Schizosaccharomyces pombe: one gene and its partners. The main gene of each other region encodes a partner of the protein of the gene in region 2 in a complex. Each region holds a gene or a part of one and is shown on either strand. Other genes may lie near its edges.

Region 1 (5,348 bases), on a different chromosome or scaffold from region 2:
TAATCCCGTTCAATTCATTTTTCGTCTTATTGCGGAGCATTGCTGACTCAATTTCACCCAAAACTAAATAGTTAGCTTACTCCAAAAGAATAGAAAATAATAAAGAAAATGGAAAGCATACCAACTAATCGGTCTATTGCCCATGTTTCAAACTCTTCAATGCTTATTTCAGAGACAGGAGGTTTCTTATAAAAATTAAGTCGCGTAGGATAACTTAAACTCTCAAAACTAGCACTAGAAAAATTTTGATTCTTTTCAACTACTCGACTTTTGGTCGTTCTGAACATGGTGGTTAGCGAAGAGTCTATTTGCGGTAACAAATTGTCGTGCCTCTCACCAAGAAACCTTTTTACTTTGAGTGTCTTTAAACAAATATTTTAAGCTGCTTAACCTTTTTGGTACTAATACAAAACACGTTGCTAATAATTAATGAATTATTTCTTCACTCGTTGTATTCAGAATTATTGAAATGAGAAATGCATACTACAGAAACGTCAACTGTAAAAACTCATCGTCGCTTATAAACTTGACATGTAACATCTTTATTCGATTAGTATCGTTCTACATTTACAATTAACAAGTCAAGCTTTAAGCAGTATTATACAAATTAAAAAAAGTTCAAAGGTTAACGATAATTATCTATTAAATAGAGCTACAAAAGGCTCTTTTTATACACATAACCGCTTTCATGAATTCCAATAGCATGAAAGTAACCAACTACCCTTGTAAGAAAAAGGAACTTACAACTTTCAATAGGAGAACACATTAGTTCATTTAAATTTATCAGCTGTGACATTAGATAATGCATCGTAAAGACTTGACTCCAATATCCAATTGCGACAATAATTAATTGTCGACAGGTTTATTTTCTTATAGACAGTAGGTTTACTACTGTTGTTGTTGATTACGTCTGCTTGGTGGAACATATGCTCCCTTAGAAGGAGCAAGGGTCTCACGAGGAGGAACAGAACCACGAGAGTAGCCACCACGAGAATACCTTGGAGAGTCTCGTGAAACACCGCCAGCACTAGCACCGCCGCGCCTCCAAGCACCAGGACTAGGTGAAGATGCGCCAATATTTGCTCTTCTAGCAGCTGCTTTCTCGGCAAGCTTACGAGATATTTCTTCATCACGCTCTTGCTGAATACGTCTTTGGCGTTCCAATTTCTCAGCCATTTCGCGCTGTTCGCGTTCTTTAGCTTCTCTAGCTGCACGAGTTCTTTCCTCGATAGCACGTTTTTGAGCTTCTTCTTGCTCATGAAGCTCACGGTTTGCCTCTTCCTCAGCAGCACGAGCAGCCTCCTCTTCAGCTTCGCGAATAGCCTCAGCCAATTTTTGTTCGAAAATTTCTTTACGTTGCCTTTCGCGCTCTGCATCAATGACATTTTTAGCTTTGGCGTATGCCTCCTGATATGCTTTATCACGTTCATCGTCAATATTTTGCTTATAGGCATGAATATAGGAAGCAAATTGAGCAAAAGCCTTTTTGTCTTTAATGGCTTGTTCATGCTTACGCTCTTGTACTTCCTTGCGTTGTTTCTCCCTCTCGTAAAAGATTTCGCGGTCATGTTCGGCTTGTTGTTTTGCGTCTTCTTCCCACAATGGGATAGCTTCACGACGATAAGCACGTTCCAAATGGTCGATACGCTTTCCAATAACACGCAAACGTTCGTTCATACTCTTATTTTGCTTTTCGACTTGTTCGATTTGCATAGCTCTCAATTTATCAGCATCCAAATGCTCCAAGTCTTCGGCATTGACTTCCAATCCACCCTTAGCTTTGAGCTCCTCGGCCAACTTTTTAGCTTCGTTAATGCGAATAGCTTCCTTCTCACGACGAATCCTTTCAGCATTACGTTTATTAATTTCTTCTTGAACGCGGAGAGACTCGGCTTCAGATTCTTGCTTTTGTTTGAGAGCGCGTTGAGCAGCAAGCTCAGCTTCACGTTGAGTAGCAAGTGTATCAGCCTGTCCACGACGTAATTCGAGAAGACTACGCTGAGCAATGACCGCTTTACGCTCCTGTTCAACACCAGCCTGAGCCCTTTCGTAGGCAGCCTCGGCTTGTTGCTTGCGTAAAAGGCAGAAATCGGTATCAAAACGCATCAAAACACTAGAAAGGGATTTGGCAATCCGCGTAAGTTGAGATGTAATTAATTCAGATGGAGTAGATTGAAGAGAAACAGAATCCGAAGACTTAATGGGATTAGAAAACAAGTCAGAAGAAAAGCTAATGGAATTTTCAATATGGTTCAAACGAATAGAAAATGCACCTTTCTTGTTACCATTCATAATGAATTTCTCAATTTGACCAGGGTTAAAATCGTAAGGCTCCTCGAATGTAGCAAGGTCCATAACATATTTCAATGAAATGGAATCATAAACTTGAGACAGTTGTTGGAAAAGACGAGTAAGAATAACCTGTTGTAAAGGACGAATGTATTGAGCAGTATCATTACTTTCTGCCAATCTTTTGATGATAGGCTGAAGTTTTTTGCAAATGCTCAATGGATGAAACTCAACTTCCAAAATCTGGTACAAATCACGGATAGCCTGATCACAGAAAGAAAGAACGCCACGAGAAATGGCATCCTTAATTAATGTTTCACGCGTAGGTGTTTTCGATAAGTTTAACAAAAGAGCCAAACGAGCATTCTTGCTCTTGGCATCTTCTGCCTCAATGGAAGGGCCCGATAATTTGTTGGCATCAATAATAGGGATAGAGAGAGCGCTTAAAATTACAAAATTAGCAGTAGCGGGTTTTTGCACATTTGTAAATGTGAAGTACCTATTCCAAGCTGCAGCATGAAGCAAATAATTATCACAAACCAAAAAGATTTTAATCAATTTACGGTAATAATTGCCAAGCATGACTGCAGCAGGAGCCCTCTTAGAGAACGTAAGCAAGCTGTGAATGTCTTCAATGGATCGGAAAGCTTCCTGCCAGAGTTCAAGCTCAACAGCAACGTTTAGCTGAGAGAAACGCATGTCCAGATGACGCTGCATAGTTTCAGCATCATTCAAGTTAATAGAGTGTGGAGCGTTTGAAAATTTAGAAGCATTGCCAAGATGGGACCGAAGGAGTTCACATAGACGGCGAAATTCGGTTTTACGCTGATACTTGAGGCAAAATTGGAATGCAGAGTTAGCAATTAACTGATACATTACTTCTAAACGAGCATTATTACGCAAAATATCAAGAACTGTACGATAAGCATCCCACAAAAATTTCAACCATGGAGTGACCAAAGCACGGTCTGTGCGGCTCTTGGAAAGGTCTCCCGAAACCAAAGACATCATGATGCTCTCGGGAGTTTCAGTAGCCTCAAGATCGTCAACATATTCAACTGATATCTTGTCTGCCTTCTCCTGAGCTTCTTGAACTCTTTTATTAGCAAGTTCAATAAAATGCTTGACTACATTCTCAATAGCGGTAACTGAGGTGTTTTGAACTGCGTTCTTGTAGGTGTACAAGCCTTCCTTTGCAATTTTTCCTTTGCGTAAATGAACACAAAGTTCGATGAAACGCATCATAATAGGCTCGAGAGAAAACCCCTGCGCGTTTCTTGATCTTTTCAAAACTATAGTCTCATGAAGAGATTGCAGTGCTGAGCTGTGCTGATCTAGAGCTATCAGCTCATCGGCAAGCTAATTTATGTTAGTCAAAGTAAGTAAAAAACTCATAATACATACCCTTAGCACATTTTCGGGCTTTCCTTGAGGAGGTGCCATGTTGTGCAGTTGAAAACTTCCCCCTTGTCGTAGTAAAATTTTATTACACGAATAGCGAGCTACCTCGCAGTTTTATATAAGCCACTAAACAAGAGGTACTTAATTCTTGATTTTGCAAAAAAAAATGTTAGCACATGCATATATATATAGTTAGTTGTTCATATCTTTCTTAGGTTTGACTTGAATAAGCATCACTTTTTGTGCAAAGAAATTAGTGGTTTACCGAATACGATAATATGACTAAATTTGAATAGATCGCCTAGTGTGAAGTGCTAACATACTCGTTAATCTATCATGTTTGTTTAAAAAATACCAGTTCAGTTTAGAACAGAGGAAAGCTCTATTTTTGCTTTTATTTGAACGTTTATGGGATAGTAGTCAGATTTTTCTGTTGCCGCTACTAATTACTATCGTTACACAATGTACATCCAAGAAATATTAGTACCGTTATAGTTTTGGAATTTTAGCCGTAGATCTGTTTCTACGCTAATCACCAAGTCCATTCTTTGTTTGATGTATTTGGTGATAAAACTAGTTAGTTCTTAAAATAATCTTTATTGCCGTTGAGTCGATACTCGCTTGAGTTCCTCATCAGGGCTTATGCATTGTTTTATACTTGTAGCATTGTCTAAACTCTTATTTACAATTGGCAACAAACTTATATAAACGTTGAGACCTTACCAGTGAAAGAAGTGTGGTTTGAGCGAAATATTTTCCGAGCCAATCTAAAATTTAAAGTGTTATCCTTGAAAAGTAGCAGAAACTCGCATTACTTTTACTCAAAGCTTGAATAAAGGAAGAAAGATTTAGCGAATATAGTTTGTCAAAGTATTATAATAAAGAGGTCATAACCCTATGTATTCCGAAAGATTTTTTTGTTAAAAAACGCTAAGTCCTCAATCTCTTCGACGCTAGGTAAACTCTAGAGGCCCATTTTGATGAAGCAATTTAATTGTGATTGGTGTAAATGTTAGACTTCTAGAAGAATAAACTAAGTGAAGTATTCGTTGATGGCGGGTACAAAAATATTAGCTTATAAACTATTCACAAAGATTCTTGAAAGGGCTTTTTATCAAGCATCTCGAAAATCTTTGTACTTTCACATCAACTGTATATAATTGTAACTCTTACATTTCCGTAAAATGCAAAATCACGCTTTCCAATTTCCTCTGGTTTTCTTTGAAAACAACACCAATAAATATAAAAAGAGAAAGAACGGGAAGAATAAATTTACCCCTTCCTATGTCCAAACTATTTTCATTTCAGAGTTCAACTGTTTACAATCATCTTTTTATTTCGGTCATTCACGTTACCCCCGCTTATTCTGCTTAATCATCAGCGGCAGAATGCACTATTGAAGTTTAAGCAAAATTGCACCTTTTTCTCGTAAATATAGTTACACCATGAAAGAAATGTAAAAAAGATAGTATGGTAAATCTATCTTGTAAAAGGCTTTCATGCAAACCTTCCGACTTACTTCTACTGGTCGAAATATTCTAAGACCCGATGAACTTGCTTTTCAGCCGAGAGAAGAGATTCCCTATAAATCTTTCCATCCAGACCTACAAATAGACGAACCTTTGGAAATATTAGAAGGTGACCATACACAATATGCA
Region 2 (4,081 bases):
TGTGCCTTGCTAAATCATTTTACGACTTTTTATATTTAGAAAATGGTCGTGAAAAAATCTAAACCAAAAAATGTATGCTCCTTCTTCCTTCACAATTTACGAACCATGTAAAAGGGGAGTTTCTTTTCTCTTCTTTAAATGTTTCTTTGTTTACTTTTACTGGTAAAATCGAACCCTTTTTTCTAACTTTTTCTTTTTGTAGCAAATTCGCGTGGAGGATTTGGACCTTCCCAAGCTAAACACTTCTAAAAATCCCCAAACTAAGATTCAGAAAAAGGGGAAGAAGAAGGGGAAAATATTTGCTGAAACTAAGGTAATTCATTCTCACATCCATGTTCTTTCATTATAGATGTTGAAAATGCTTCCATTTACTCAACAAGTAATATTCAAAAACATTAAACAACAAAAATCTCAAGTCAGTGTGGTAGATGTTACGATGATAAATATCTCTCTATATAAATCCTACAAATCTTGTTTATAAACTTTCAAGGCCCTGAACCCTATTCTTCCGCATTCGTTCCTCTTTACCACCAGATCCGACAAATAAGGTTTTAAGTGAACTTGCTGCGCTTTTTGAGTCATGTAATCTAATTTTTGATCTGATTTGGTTTGTTTGTTTTTTTACTTTTTGATTTTAATTGATGGGCATTCCTTCATCTATTTATTCATTTTCCACATTCATTGTTCATTAACTAATTGCTGTTACAGGATGACCTTCAAAATATTCTCAATCAAGTTACTTATGAGCTTGACGATAAAATAAAATCTAAACTTCAAGTGGCTGTAAGTATTTCCATGAATTATTTTGATTTCAAGTTTCAGTCAATTTACTAACTATTTACGTTAGCACGAGCGCGAAGCCGTCTTTTCTAAACAATCTGACAGAAAAATCAGCAATAACAAAGCTGATAAAAAGACGGGTCGGAAAAACGAAAAGAAATGAGTTATTCAATTGTTATAACGACACTTCCAAAGATCCTTTTTTTCGTATTGCCTTTCAATTATTAATTTTTCATTTTCTTTTGGGATATCGGGTTCATTCGGTTTTTCGATGCTGTTAATTATTCATTATACAGACTACTAAATAAGTACAACCAATAACATTAAACACATAAGCCATTGCGTTTCAAATTTAAAAATAAAAAATCCAAGTAGGGGAATGCAAAATTCTTTTGTAAAACATTGACAGAAAATTATGCAACATCATATCACTTTTTCATACATACATTTATACGTGCAAGTACATCCATTGGAAGAAGTGCTGTCATTAAAAGCCTGAAAGTAATGAAAAGATTCGGCGAATTATATATTCGCTTTCTTACAGGAAATGTCCTACAAAATACTAATATGGTAGCTCCATTTAAAGTCACGAATTGAAATTTTGAGGCAGACTTGAAATTCTTGGTAGTTATGAATCCATGTGAAAAGTGTTTTGAATAGGCCATATAGCCCAGTTTTCGCCAAGAATCCAAAATAATTACCGATTTTTAGTTTGTCTGTAATGAAATGCTTTTCTGGTAGGTGCAAATTCACCTAATTTATGCCCGATCATATCTTCTGTAATTTTTACATTGGCATATGATTTACCATTATGAACCATAAATTGAGCACTAGAATTTAGTTAGTTAACGTCCACACTTGCTAAATACGAGTATCATACCCAACCATTCTAGGTAAAATAGTTGCAGATCGCACAGCTGTTTTTATAGGAACGTTTCCTTTAATACATTGCTGAACGTTGACACCGAAATCGACCACGTTGGGTCCTATAATGTCAGAATAACAGGTTCTAAATTATTTTCAAAACAAGTATATTTATATTCATTTACCTTTCCAGACTGACCGAGCTCTGGCTACACTAGTCCAAAACATGAGGTGAAATGTTAGAAAGCTAGTTAATTGCTAATGCAGCAATCGTTAATAAATGTGAGGTAGCAACCTGGTGTTGTTACTTCCACTTCGTTTTAACCATTGAACGAGGTGGAGGTGCCAAGTCCTACTCTCCAACTACCACTAACAGCGAATATTTGCATTTCTCGTCTGCTAGATTCGTATTAATAACAGAGATGGAAGGCTCTGATTTTATTTTGGTAGTTGACTCTTCCGTAGAGGAACAGGTATGTCGCTAATGACTCGGCGATTTTTGGTAAAACTTTTTTCAACTAACGAAATTTCAAAAGGTGGAAGAATTGGCTATGTATTTGGATAATCTTGAGGCTAATACCGATAAAAATGTACTTGCTCTTTGCCGAGAATATTTGGCTTCTGAAAATGTTAAAGAAGTTCTTAATCTGTTTCTGACTCGCTTGCCATTGTTGGCACAAGCACCTGAGAAAGGTAATGCAAAATAGTTTTAGGCTAGGAAATTAAAGAATTATTTTAATAAGTGCTAAAGGGCATTTGTTATATTGTTAGTTCTGAAAGTATACTATGAGCTGATGTGTTTGGTTTGCAGCTTTCCAAGTTTTCGCTTATTTTCTCTTCCATGCTATTACTAACACGAAACAGAACTCGAGCCTATTTTAGCCGTCTTTATTAATCTTATCCAAGAATCTGCTGCTTTCGAAGATCATGTTTCTAAATTTTGCCAAGCCTTAGAGCAGATTGCCGATCAAAACAACAATCTCACTCCTGCCATACTCAGTGTCTTAAGCATTTTATTTAATACGGCCGTCAAAGAACGTCAACACGCACGTTTAAGCATTCTTACTAGTGTTGTTACTCTCACTACCCGTTATTCCTTGTTTAGCACTCTTGCACCTAATTTGAAATACTTCCCTGACTGGCTTAAAGAAGCTGGTGTCAGTGTATCGGACCATCGGGCATTTAATATTTTTGTTTCTAAAGCTATTCAATCATACGATGATGAGCAATCATTTGCTTTCCTTTTGGAAGCCGTAAAAATGGACAACTCAACTGCTGACGAGGCGGTTCGCGAATTAGTTCAACGCGCTGTTAACAGCCCTAAGTACTTTTTCTTTGATGATATTGTCACCCTTCCACCCGTTCAGCAGCTTGAACAAAGTACTTTACAGTTACTTGGTATTTTGTCCGGCGGGATGACCGACGATTATGTAAGTTGGGTTGCCGAAAACCATGCTCATTGCCAACACCAAAAATTTGATGAAGATGCAATTGCACGTAAGATGAAACTTTTAACTATTGCTTCATTAGCTACCCAGGCTCCCAATAATACATTATCCTATGGTGATGTAGCCAAGAGTTTGAAGATTGATGAAAATGAAGTAGAATTATGGATCATTGATGTTATTCGTGCTGGACTTGTTGAAGGCCGCATGTCTCAGTTGACTAAAACGTTATCCATTCACCGTAGCAGCTATCGTGTCTTTGGTAAGCACGAATGGGTTGCTTTACACGAAAAATTAGCTAAATGGGGTTCAAGTTTACGTTACATGCTACAAGTAATGGAGCAACCTTTATCTAGCTTTACTATAGCCTCTAGCAAAAAGGGAAATAGAGACGGATCCGCGGTCACAGCCTCTGAATAGTTCATTAGAAAAATAAAATAGGATTCTGATCATTAAGTTTCACCTGTATTAGAGTTACCTTCAATTACGTGGACTTTAGACTAAAGATTTTCTTATAAATTTTAGGTTGCAGTACACTAATAAATAGCAGACCAAAAGCGAAGAAGTTCAAAGCAGCAATCACTTTCTTTGTAATTATGGATGTATCCGTGCAAGACTCTTTTTAACCAAGAGACTTCCCTAATTATTTCTGTCGTCAACTTAAAGAATTTTTTGTACACTAACTAAAAAAGTAACCTACAACTGTTACGTAAAATTGAGATTTTAAAAAAGGAAAGAAGATTGACTCCTAATTTTGCAAAATGATTAGCTTTATTAAATCTTTTGTTTATATCTAACAAATCTGTCAACATTCGTTTTTCCTAACGCATAAATAACTTTGACTTAACATACATATATCAAGTGTTGCTTACCTGACGTTACTTAAAAAATTTTTGTACCATAGCTACTGGCAAATTTAAGAGTTTTCGACGACTTGATAGTATTTATATTAGAAATCTTTATATTTTCTTTTGAAATACAAAAGCGGCTGT
Region 3 (4,064 bases), on a different chromosome or scaffold from region 2:
GAAAGCCTCAAAGAAGAAAAAGGTGTCTCTGGGAGTCCAAGACAAAAATTTAGCAACGTCTATTAAATCCGAAATTGATGCCATTGAATGTGACACTTCTGAGCTTACCCAGGATCTTCTCCGTGGTATTCGTTTTCATGGTGATAAACTTCTCAAGCAACTATCACCCGGTGATTTCGAAAGGGCTCAGCTTGGTTTAGGACATTCATACTCTCGCGCAAAAGTGAAGTTCAATGTTAACAGAAATGACAACATGATTATCCAAGCTATTGCTATCCTTGATCAACTTGACAAGGACATTAATACTTTCGCTATGCGCATGAAAGAGTGGTATTCTTGGCATTTCCCTGAGCTTTCGAAGATCGTTGGAGACAATTACAAATACGCTGTTATTGTTACACTGGTTGGTGATAAAACCACCATTAACGACGAAATGCTTCATGATCTGGCAGCCGTTGTAGACGATGACAAAGATATTGCTCAAAGTATAATCAACGCTGGTAAAGTGTCTATGGGACAAGATATCTCTGAAATTGACCTCGAGAATATTCTATCTTTTGCTGAACGTGTTATTAAACTTAGTAATTATCGTAAACAGCTACATAACTATTTGGTTCAGAAGATGAATGTTGTTGCTCCCAATCTTGCTGAATTAATTGGTGAGATGGTTGGTGCTCGTTTGATTTCTCATGCCGGAAGTCTAACTAACTTGTCAAAATGCCCGGCTTCTACGGTACAGATTCTAGGTGCTGAAAAGGCTTTGTTCCGTGCTCTGAAAACCCGTGGAAACACGCCTAAATACGGTATTATTTACCATTCTAGTTTTATTGGAAAAGCTGGCGCTAAAAACAAAGGCCGCATCTCTCGTTTCTTGGCTAACAAATGTTCTATTGCTAGCCGTATTGATAACTTTAGCGATGCCCCAACTACGGCATTTGGTCAAGTTCTTCGTCGACAAGTCGAGGAACGTCTCAACTTTTTCGATACCGGTGTCGCCCCTACTCGCAATAGTATTGCAATGGCAGAAGCTTATGAAAAGGCATTATCGAGTGTTAACATAGACGGAGACGAGGAGGTTGACATTGACGTTGAAGAGACTGTTGAAACCATTTCAGAAAAGCCGAGCAAGAAAGAAAAGAAAGACAAGAAGGAGAAGAAAAAGGAGAAGTCTAAGAAAAAGCGTTCTGCCGATGATGCATCAGAAGAAGTCAAGAAAAGTAAGAAGAAAAAGAAGAGCCATTGAGACGTTATTTTTATTAGGATATAACGGGGACCATATTGCTCTTGCATATTTAGAACAACTTGTAATTGAAAAATTTGCTATAGATTATGGGCGTAAATACTGTAATATTACTAAATCGATTGATATCGAGCTTATCATTTTGATGGATGGACGTGTAAAACTTATCTCTTAGTAAGCATTTACATTTTATTAAGTAGCATTTATGTATTATTCGTATAAGAAGTGCTATTTATATCGAAAGTTAAAAAAATATTAGAAACCAGTATTTGACAATAATTACAATTTAAGTAAAGATCAAGAATCGGATAAAAATTTGTCTTACACATTGATTTACATTAGCTGGTAGTAAGTTCGAGCTTAATTAGTTTTATGAAAAACTATTGGTTAAAAAAAGCAAAAATATCATTAAGGAATTTAATATTTTTTGTACGAACATTGCTGACCTACTATTGTCATATTGCTTTTCAGTACTGTAGTCTAAGGGGGCTACTACTAGAGTTTTGGGTGAGTTGTGCTATCCTCCCCACACCACGCACTTTTTTTTTGCGTGAAACATATCAGATATGGGATCCGAGCTTAAGAGTACAAGCCCTTTAGGTAAGCTAATTTAGATTTATTTTTAAATACAGGAGAATGTTTTCTAACCTTTATAGCGGTCAAGTATGATTTGTCGCAAAAAATTATGCAACACCTTGACCGCCATCTCATTTTTCCTCTATTGGAATTTTTATCTTTAAGACAGACTCATGATCCAAAGGAGCTTTTACAAGCTAAGTATGATTTGCTTAAAGATACCAATATGACTGATTATGTGGCCAACTTGTGGACTAATCTTCATGGGGGTCATACCGACGAGGACATGGCAAATGCTTTTGCTGAAAAGCGACGCAGTGTTTTGCAAGAGCTCTCTGAACTTGAAGAAGAGGTTCAAGGAATTTTAGGTGTCTTAGAAAATCCTGACTTGATTGCAGCTCTTCGTCAAGATAAAGGTCAAAATTTACAACACCTACAAGAACATTACAACATTACCCCTGAACGTATAGCTGTTCTTTACAAGTTTGCTCAATTTCAATATAATTGTGGAAACTACGGTGGTGCATCAGATTTACTTTATCATTTTCGTGCCTTCAGTAAAGACCCTGAATTAAACGCCTCCGCGACCTGGGGTAAATTTGCTTCTGAAATTTTGACTGTTGATTGGGATGGGGCTATGGAGGAATTGGGAAAACTTCGCGAAATGGTGGACTCCAAAAGCTTTAAAGATTCTGCTGTTCAATTGAGAAATCGAACTTGGCTCCTCCACTGGTCCTTGTTTCCTTTGTTTAATCATGCAAATGGTTGTGATACTCTTTGTGATTTGTTCTTCTATACTCCTTATCTCAACACCATCCAAACCTCTTGTCCCTGGCTATTAAGATATTTGACTGTCGCTGTTGTTACTAACCAAAATAATGCAAATCAAAAACCTCGTAACCCTAGGCAATCTTATCAAAGAAGGATGCGAGATCTCGTACGCATCATTAGCCAAGAAAACTATGAATACAGCGATCCTGTGACCTCTTTTATTTCTGCTTTGTATACTGAGGTCGACTTTGAAAAAGCTCAGCATTGCCTCAGAGAATGTGAAGAGGTTTTGAAAACCGACTTTTTTCTCGTATCTTTGTGCGATCACTTTTTGGAAGGTGCTCGCAAATTACTTGCTGAGGCATATTGCCGTATTCACAGTGTCATAAGTGTTGATGTGCTTGCTAACAAGCTGGAAATGGACAGTGCTCAATTAATACAACTTGTTGAAAACCGTAATAATCCTTCAGTTGCCGCAGCTTCTAATGTAGCTGCCGATCAAAGTACTGAAGATGAAAGTATTGAATCTACCTCTACAAATGTTGTTGCTGATGATTTAATCACGGAAGCCGAAACTGCTACTGAAGCCGAAGAGCCCGAACCCGAGGTACAATTTGGGTTTAAAGCTAAGTTGGACGGTGAATCAATAATAATTGAACACCCTACTTATTCAGCTTTCCAACAGATTATAGACCGTACAAAGTCATTAAGTTTTGAAAGTCAAAACTTGGAGCAATCTCTTGCTAAAAGCATTTCGGAGTTAAAGCATGCTACTGTTTAGACAAGATTAGCAAATAGTTTAAAGGTGGAATATATTTCATACATTAAAAATAAAACATAGGAGTTTAATTAATTCGCTAATTTTGTATTTTCAAACAACTCGTTATTGTAGAAGATGACTGTGTACTTTCCTATTTAAAGAAACGTGCTCATTGAATATCGCTATTAGTATATTAATTTTGGAAATTTGAAACATGCGGGGATATTAAAAAAATATATATTATCTAAAATTTTTTTATTTTCTGAAGTGCATAAAAAATAAATAATTAATGCAAAAGTATTAATGCCGCTATCTCAACATGTAGAAAATGTGTCGGTGGAATTAACTTATGTATATATTAAATTGCTGTAATAATACTAATCCAATTGCATTAAATTAAATTTCCCTAATTGATAGATAAATAAACGATGCTGCAACGGTATTACCGTAATTTAATCGAAAGACTCGCTACAACTAATATGTAAGTTTGGTGTTTAAATTTCATATCAAACCAGTACACCACGAAAGCTTGAGACAGCATCCGTTTCCGTGCCACCAACATTTATCAACGCAAAGATATCTCTTGAAAAGAATAGATTTTTGGTCAGTAGTAGGACCAGGACCTAAAGATGCCAAATCCTAATCAAGCAATAAAAAAAGAAAATGAACCTATTCAAGTTGAAAACCCTACGGAACTAGTCAGGGATGATGGAGAAG

Evidence for each region. Proteins that work in one complex are often made in the same cells at the same time.
Region 1: tif313 (region 2) and tif301 share a complex: the UniProt entries of both Schizosaccharomyces pombe proteins name them as parts of the eukaryotic translation initiation factor 3 (eIF-3) complex.
Region 3: tif313 (region 2) and int6 share a complex: the UniProt entries of both Schizosaccharomyces pombe proteins name them as parts of the eukaryotic translation initiation factor 3 (eIF-3) complex.

The regions. Positions count from the first base shown.
Region 1 is NC_003423.3:3,312,722-3,318,069, reverse strand, and holds tif301 (translation initiation factor eIF3a), read right to left. Parts: upstream 3,740-5,348; 5' UTR 3,733-3,739; coding exon 3,694-3,732; intron 3,649-3,693; coding exon 889-3,648; 3' UTR 618-888; downstream 1-617. Other genes in the region: DNA primase large subunit Spp2, read right to left, coding at 1-63, 122-287; histone acetyltransferase complex subunit Nto1, read left to right, coding at 5,190-5,348. UniProt on the Schizosaccharomyces pombe protein: RNA-binding component of the eukaryotic translation initiation factor 3 (eIF-3) complex, which is involved in protein synthesis of a specialized repertoire of mRNAs and, together with other initiation factors, stimulates binding of mRNA and methionyl-tRNAi to the 40S ribosome.
Region 2 is NC_003424.3:384,278-388,358, forward strand, and holds tif313 (translation initiation factor eIF3m), read left to right. Parts: upstream 1-2,005; 5' UTR 2,006-2,066; coding exon 2,067-2,117; exon of another isoform or gene 2,118-2,180; coding exon 2,181-2,337; intron 2,338-2,508; coding exon 2,509-3,509; 3' UTR 3,510-3,579; downstream 3,580-4,081. Other genes in the region: pre-ribosomal protein Loc1, read left to right, coding at 43-72, 203-313, 709-783, 848-943; rsm19 (mitochondrial 37S ribosomal protein uS19m), read right to left, coding at 1,478-1,610, 1,661-1,766, 1,830-1,872. UniProt on the Schizosaccharomyces pombe protein: Component of the eukaryotic translation initiation factor 3 (eIF-3) complex, which is involved in protein synthesis of a specialized repertoire of mRNAs and, together with other initiation factors, stimulates binding of mRNA and methionyl-tRNAi to the 40S ribosome.
Region 3 is NC_003423.3:938,004-942,067, reverse strand, and holds int6 (translation initiation factor), read left to right. Parts: upstream 1-1,759; 5' UTR 1,760-1,806; coding exon 1,807-1,840; intron 1,841-1,896; coding exon 1,897-3,368; 3' UTR 3,369-3,447; downstream 3,448-4,064. Other genes in the region: U3 snoRNP protein Nop56, read left to right, coding at 1-1,243; oss1 (oxysterol binding protein), read left to right, coding at 3,977-4,064. UniProt on the Schizosaccharomyces pombe protein: Component of the eukaryotic translation initiation factor 3 (eIF-3) complex, which is involved in protein synthesis of a specialized repertoire of mRNAs and, together with other initiation factors, stimulates binding of mRNA and methionyl-tRNAi to the 40S ribosome.